Linked DNA regions of Kluyveromyces lactis. The protein of the gene in region 1 interacts with the protein of each later gene in a pairwise test. Links are inferred from orthologs where the notes say so. Each region holds a gene or a part of one and is shown in the gene's direction. Other genes may lie near its edges.

Region 1 (4,465 bases):
TTTTTTCATCTTATACTAAGTTTCTGGATATATATCACAAAATTATATAGCCGAGACTGCTTATAACGACTTGTTCATGAATCTCCTTCTAGTGAATGCCAACCAGAACTTCGAAGGCACTTCTCTGTTATCTTTATACACTCTTTCTAGCAATCTCATAGCCAGTTCTTGACGGAATTGTTGGATATAACTTTTTAAAAGCTCCACATCTGCTGGGTTGTCCAATGGAATGGAGTAGACAGTGTTCAATGGGAAACCTGGAGTGCCTGGGATAGCAAAGCTATCTAAACCTAGATTCATTAATTTCTTAACAGCTTCGTTATAACTAGTCGATAAATTCAAATTTGCCAAACAGTCGTTTATGAATAGAATGCCGTAGATTAATATTCTATCAGCTGGGGATTTGATCTCAAAGTTCTTAAAGAAGGAATTGGCACGGAAAAGATCTAGACATTCATCGATAATATCGTAGTCTGAATTGGACTGGTAAGCTGGTCCTCTATATTTCGTATTCAATGGAAGTAGTGCAAAGTTACCCACGAAACGATCAGTAGCTGGGTCCGCTAGAAAAGTAGAATGGAAAGCTGGCATTATGTGTTTGTATTAAGGTCTGACGAGATTATCACCCGATTTGATACTCCTGCGATTTTAATTCAGACGTACTTTAGCTACCTAATCATATATTTTACCACATATGTTATTTCATAGTTTAGTTTTCATATTGAAGTAGCTTTTCAGTTTTAGGCAGAGAAAAGGGGTTTCACTAACAGAAGTTACAACAGTTGATTCGATCACTTGGTGATGTATTAGTGATGATCTAAAGCATCAAGTAGGTATAGCAAAGGGAAGATAGAGGAGGGTCCGGAATTATCGAGGCCTAATCAACTAGTCTTTTGATACCATCCCAAAAGTAGCAATCACGTGACTCATGTAATACAGATTCAGCTTCCCCTGACTTCAAAAAATTACATAATACAATAAAAAATAAAAATACGCATACAGAAGCCACTGTGCCAATAGTCACGATAACCATCTGATTGAGGCTAGTGACAGGATCTGGAACAGCAAGGTTATACACAAATTACCGGACGTAAATTTCTATTTTCACTGCTATTTTTTTTTCCATATTTTTTGCTTGTTTTCCGCACTATGATGATGTCCCAAATCTCAACTTCATGCACCGATGTTTCGTAAGTTGAGAATTTGATTTGATTTGATCATTTGAAAGAAAATAACGGAAACCTGATAAATAATAAGGAGCAAGGCTTGATTGAAGGTTTTGTTGACACAGAGATTTGGGCTAAGAAAGTGTTATTTCGATACCGGAACGGCAGATTGGAAACTTAGGGTGGTGTACAGTAATCTGAGAGAGTACGTTTGGTGTGTGTGAACGGGAATAATTTCATAAGGCGCAATTACAAACTCTGTTCGGTTTTCGTTTTGGTTTCAGTTTTCCTTTATTATTGTATTTTTATTTTGGTTGAGGTTGTCTGTTATTCCAGTTCCAATATCCTTTCAAACTTGAGTATTCCATTATTCCTTTCATTTCTGGGATTAGTGTCTTTCTTTTTGCTTTTGGTTGACCTAAGAGAAGCTTAGAACAGGATTTTTGCATTAAGTGTCTTTTTGTTCTTTCTAAAGCGAGACAATGAGTTTTTCCTCCAATGATATGGAACAAGACTCCAGGAGGCAATTGTTCACCCAGATTTTTGGTATTGAGCGGCCTTTGTCGCCTCCCCCAAGTAATGTACCGAGAGAACTGCCAGATTCTTTAGATATGATGAGTTTAAAGGCTGTGCTCAATGAAGATGTAGAGAACGATTTACTGCAAAATAGAGGTCAGATCTCAGAAAACAAAACTGGGACTGAAAGGAGTGTTTTCAGAAGTCCTGTCCATGTTCGTCAAATAAGTGACGTTCCAAGTATGGACACGGAGGATGATATTGTGACTCCTCCAGAGTCGACTTCTCCACAGGCGTATCCACCAGAGGATCTTTCTTTACCTAAGCAGCGACCTATGTCGCATCATCATCATGGTAGACCAGCGCCGCCCGCCATGGACATGATTCATGAATCACCGAGAAGGTCAAAGAGTGAAAATTTCAATTCAAAGCCGTCTTTACCAAAACTTTCAACTACAGGACAAATTAACAACAACAGCAGCAACAACTATAGCAACAACATTAGTAATCTTAATTCACGGGGATCATTCAGTGCCAAAAAATCTCCGCTGCAAGGATTTGGACTATTTTCAAGATCTAGCTCGAAATATTTGCAAGCGGATGCAAACCTTTCGTCGAATAATTACAATAATAACTCATCATCTGATCACATTTTCGGAAGGACTCAGTCTATAAGTTCTTCTACTTTCAAAAACTTTACTTCTTCTTTGCATGGGAAAACTAAAACCGTTGGTGGTCGAACCATTCCGCAAAAGTACGATCACTCAACGAACCCATTGCTTGATTCAACGCTAGGTCTGGGCATCAAACAAAGAGCATCTTCTGCATCGTTGTCCACCGAATCAGCTATGTCGAGGCATATACGTAGAACATCCACCAGCTCATTACACACAAAGCATATAGTGGTATCAAGTTCTATTAGGAGACCCCAGGTGTATCCCGCAATGCTATCGAGAGTTGCGACAGCTTTCAGAAAGTCAATCACATTGTGCGAACACAAAAAAGATGGACTAGTTTACAGAGACGCATTTACTGGTCAACAAGCCATTGATGTCATCTGCTCAATAATAAGGACAAATGATCGTAATTTAGCTTTGTTATTGGGGAGAGCACTTGATGCTCAAAAACTCTTCCACGATGTGATTTATGAACACAGGCTTCGTGATTCCCCTAACGAAGTTTACGAATTTACAGGCAATTCCAGAGTTATCGGTAAAGGCATATATGAGATCGGTTCTACTAACAATTTCTCTGCTTCCCAATCCAGCACTACCATCGCACCTTCCAAATCCGAATCTAGTCTGTCTCTGATGGAGAAACCGGAGGATCTAGACTCTTATCATCAAGTGAACGGTGTATTCACATTGTTAGCAGAATGTTACTCTCCAACTTGTACTAGAAACAGGTTATGTTATTCTATTTCATGTCCAAAGCGACTCGAACAACAAGCTCGTTTGAATTTAAAGCCAAATGGTGGATTAAAAAGAAATATTTCTATGGCAATTGATGATGACGATGAAGAAAAATCATCATGGACAAGTTCTGTTCCAGAAGAACTCTGGAGTTCACTTACCAAACGTGAGATTAAAAGACAGGAAGCTATTTACGAAGTCTACAGCACAGAAAAGAAATTTGTCAAATCCCTTGAGATTCTTAGAGATACATTTATGAAGAAACTAGCTGAAACTAACATCATTCCTGCCGATATACGCAAAAATTTTATCAAACATGTTTTCGCCCATGTTAATGACATATATTCCGTAAACAGACGGCTCCTAGACGCTTTGTCAGAAAGACAAAAAGCATCTCCGATAGTCGATGGAATTGGTGATATTTTACTACGTTTCGTTCCATTTTTTGAACCTTTTGTTATGTATGTGGCATCCAGGCCGTATGCTAAATATTTGATCGAAACTCAGAGGTCCGTTAACCCATATTTCGCTCGGTTTGATGATGACCTGATGAACTCTAAGTTAAGACATGGGATTGATTCCTTTTTGTCTCAAGGTGTTTCTAGGCCAGGTCGTTATGTCCTACTTGTTAGAGAAATAATGAAGTCTACCGACCCTGAAACTGAAAAGAGGGACTTGGAGAATTTAACAAGGGCCCTAGAAGCCCTTCGTGCATTTATGAAACGTATTGATAAGGCTAGTGGTGCTGCTCAGGACAGACATGATGTTAAATTGTTGAAGCAAAAGATTCTTTTCAAGAATGAGTATGTCAACATGGGATTGAATGATGATAAACGGAAGATCAAGCATGAAGGCCTTCTATCAAGAAAAGAAATTACCAAGAATGAAAATGGTGTTACAGGTGACCTTCAATTTTATCTACTGGACAATATGTTATTATTTTTGAAGTCAAAAGCAGTCAATAAATGGAATCAACATAAAGTTTTCCAGCGGCCTATACCTCTCCCGTTGTTATTTGCCGCTCCTGGTGAAGAAATGCCAAGTTTAAAGAGACATATTTGCGGTAAACCGGATAGTCAAGGTATGGTTATTTATCCTGATGCAATCGCTGGCACGAATCCCAGAAATGCTATCTCTTTCACGTATTATGGTGCTAAAAACAAATACCAAGTAACGTTATACGCAGCACAGTTCGCAGCAATGCAAACGCTTCTTGAGAAGATAAAGCAGGAACAAGCTAGGATTATCAAAGAAAACGATATCTTTAACGTTTGCAAAATTAGTGATAGGTATTTTGATTACTCCAATAAGATTAACAGCGTTGCATCTTGTGATGGCGGACGGAAGTTAATAATCGCCACCTCGCAAGGC
Region 2 (3,697 bases), on another chromosome or scaffold:
CTAAATTTTTCACCACTTGATTTGTCAATACGAAGACAATCTGCGGTCAGAACGAGTCAGCTCTTTAGCGGTAAATTGGAATGTCTGCAGGGGTATGTGCAGTGGTGTATGCAGTGGTATTATAAACGGTATATGTCATTAAATGATGTCCTGTACTATTGTGCCAGGAATCAAGAATTATTCATTCTCACTCTACATGCCTAAAATATTGCCTACGACGTCTTATGTTGGGTAAAAAAGATACGAGGTCACGTGGTGGTAAGTCAATATCATGTCTTGCACCTACCAAAATTTGTACCAAGGTTTACTGTTTCTAGAGCCCTCTTCCCATTCCTTCTTGACTGTATCTATATTCTTAACCTGTTTCAGCATTGGTTTCTCCTTTGCTGCAACAGTCTGTTTGGCCATTGCTGCCACTTGGAAGCTTCGTCTACGACGCATGCGACATTGCTCCCATCCTACAATGGATCCAAGTATGAAACCTCCTACACCCCAATTTGCCGCACGAGCAGGATTCTTATGGTACAAGAACATCACTGATCCGACAACAAACATCGATGTAAACCCTCCGATCCCTGCGTCTCTGAAACATGGAATTGACAGTACCTTTTCGACACTGAAATCTTTCACGTCTATCGTATTCCATGCCTCTTTCAAAGACGCACGTTCCTGCTCTCGAGCAGCCATACTACTGGACTCATTATTGAATTTGGGTTTTGTATCCTCAAATAGAAACTTCTGTCCTTTAGCATAATTCGTTAATTGCTGTTCCTCTGATATACTCCTTTCCACCTCGGTACTTGCTTCTTGCGTTTTACTCTTAGAAAATGGCCACACCATGTTTGCGCTCTGAATATTAAAATATCAATTCAACGGGAGTTTATATTACTTGACAGCTACCTAGGTTAGCTTAATGAAGATCTCAATTGCTGCTTACTTGTCAACGCTTTTAGCATCATCTCATCTTATAATCTTAGTTTGTCAATCAGTTTTCCTACAGACACAACTTTTTCCAAACCGAAAAATAATTGAAAAATATGGAATATTTGGGAAGCGTCAGTATTTAATCATAAAATCAGAAGGTACTTGGAAATTCTTGACCTAAGTGACTTTTTAAACAGTGAAACTATAGCAAGTCTCTGGAAATGCATTCCTAGTTTGTCTTGAACATATTAAACTGACACAATATGTACATTTATTTATCCGTTCTATATTTAAAAGTCGCTTTCTGCGATTCATATGTACTGTCGCAGTAGAAATGAAAAAAAGGCGACAGAATCCGATACTCTGAAAATCAGTAAAATAATGGTAAATTGAATTAATCTGAAACGATGAGTTGCAACAAAAATACAGTGGCCGTTAAGCATTTCAACTAGGCTTCTGGAAACACTGCCCTCTGGTATCAGCTTGAGTCTGTGGGTAAGTGAGTTGCTCTGCAAGTAGTATTGGATTCGAAAGCGTTTGCACGGAAGAAATTCGTAGAAAGGATAGGACATTGGTAAATCGTTCTCTTGAGAGAAATAGAATGGATAACAACCGACAAAGAAACGCGTATGGCAACTACATAAACATGTACCCGCCAGGTCACGAGCCAAGTAAGAATACACCATATCCGGTTGATGATCTGCCCCAGAATCATGTTGCAGATACGAATATTCCATACCAAATGTATGAGAAAGATACAAGACAAAGCTCCCAGTCAACGGTAACGACGCCAGTATCACGACAACCACCACCGGCGCAGCAAGTCAGCATACCCAAAGTGGATAACCCGCCTAGCAGTGCTAAGAGTGAACGGGATCTTTCAAATTACTCTTCCGAGGCTGTCGCGTTTTATGAAGCATATGACAGAACCGTCAAGGACGCAAACAAGTTTACGAAGGATATCCAGTTGAAATGGTGCGAGACACTGTTGCAATATGCGTTCAAGCCCACTTTCTTAATCAGATACAATATCAATGCTGAAAAGTTGAAACGGGATTTAACTGAGACCGAAATGCTACAGAATAAAAGGACCATTTTAGAGCATGCGTTACGCGTGTTAACGAAACTAACTCAGTTAAACTATTCACCAGCGATCTACCTATTAGGGACACTTTATTCCCACCACCCTTACGTAGATATTCCAAGGCCCATGGATATCGTGTCTAAGAATGATGCAAAAGCTCTAGACTACTATCGCAGAGCAGCCGATATGGGTCATAAGGATGCCATGTATCGGACCAGTGTCAGCTACGAGTACGGACGTGGAGTAGATTACACAACTGTGAGTGAATACGAAGCTTTAAAGATTTCACAGAAGTACTATGAAATGGCAGCTTTGACCAATGGACATTCTGTATCCATGTACAAGCTCGGGATGTTCTATTTGAAAGGACTGAGAACGAAATCTGGTGAAATCGTTATCAAAAGAGACCCTGTACAAGCTTTATACTGGTTTAGAATGGCTACCAAGGAGATCGAAATCCCACGAGACGATAAGGCTCATGTAGAACTGGAATCAGTATCGCCACAAGCGATGGTTGAGTTGGGTAAGATTTACGGATTTGAAGAGTTAGACGAATCCGTTAGACAAGAGCTTCTGAGAAACGGAATCACTCAAGATAAGGAAAAATCGATCAAATACTATTATAGATGCGCCCATGACTTCGATTATTCTCAAGCCCAATACAAATTGGGTCATTTTTATGAATTTGGGGAGATGGGACTACCTGTAATACCCAAGAAGTCCATTGCATGGTACGCAAAGAGTTCCATGAACAAGACCAAACCAAACCCGTTAGCCATGGTAGCACTTAGTGGCTGGTACCTTACCGGTGCTGAGGGGATATTGAAACCGAACGACGTAGAGGCCTTCAAGTGGGTGTCACGTGCTTCGAAATTATCTGACGGGAAATTACCAAGAGCAGAGTATGCATTAGCATTTTACTTGGAGAAAGGCCTTGGATGTCAGCCAAACATACAAGAGGCCAAGGTACACCACGAAACTGCTGCTCGTCTTGGCCATCCGAAAGCCATCGAGGCCTTGAGGAAAATGTGACCTTGCGGTTTTATTTTTACTGTCCTGCGTAGCTAGCTTCATTGTAATGATATGTAATAATAAGATTTGGTTAGAGTAGTTAGTTATTGGTATTCTCTAGAAGTTAAATTTCTGGCGGTGGTTGGTGTCGCGAAGCGACACCAACATAGCTTAAACTCGGACTTGCTCCCGCTAAGCGAACCATGCTCATCCAGGCCAATCCCCAGCTTCAACTGCCAGGTCCAGGGCCAGGGCCAGCATTACTGCCACAGCTCTTCGCTTCGCTCACATCATCCTCTACTCTTATTGGCTGAAAACCTCCAAAAAGAAAAGCTCCTAAGTCCAGCATTTCTTTTTTTCCCTTTTCCCTTCCCTGTCTTCCTACAATATCTTCTGCGGAACTGGCAATGTCGGAATCATTTCAAAGGTAAAATCCTCTCATATTGCCTGAAAATGAAAATGACTGAGGAAAAAATGACTGAAAACTCAAAAAAAGATATAATATGATATGTTTTCATAATTATATAATAAGAGATGAGCTTCAGGTTTAACTTAAGATACACCTTTGGTTTTGGTTCAGTGCTTCTCTAATCTAGAGTAAAATATTCTTTGATACACCAGGTTTCACTTTCGTCACTGAAGAGAAAAATTTAAAAAGATTCTACCTGTTAGAAGTGG

Evidence for each region.
Region 2: the proteins of ROM2 (region 1) and ACK1 interact in binary tests that used the Saccharomyces cerevisiae proteins (3 or more experiments, as listed by UniProt). The link is inferred for Kluyveromyces lactis from reciprocal best matches to the Saccharomyces cerevisiae genes ROM2 and ACK1.

Annotation. Positions count from the first base shown.
Region 1 is NC_006038.1:683,827-688,291, reverse strand, and holds the start of ROM2 (Rho family guanine nucleotide exchange factor ROM2), read left to right. Parts: upstream 1-1,648; coding exon 1,649-4,465. Other genes in the region: ARC18 (Arc18p), read right to left, coding at 61-591. UniProt on the Saccharomyces cerevisiae protein: Stimulates the exchange of RHO1 GDP-bound form into GTP-bound form.
Region 2 is NC_006039.1:1,307,771-1,311,467, forward strand, and holds ACK1 (Ack1p), read left to right. Parts: upstream 1-1,525; coding exon 1,526-3,040; downstream 3,041-3,697. Other genes in the region: COX20 (Cox20p), read right to left, coding at 283-840.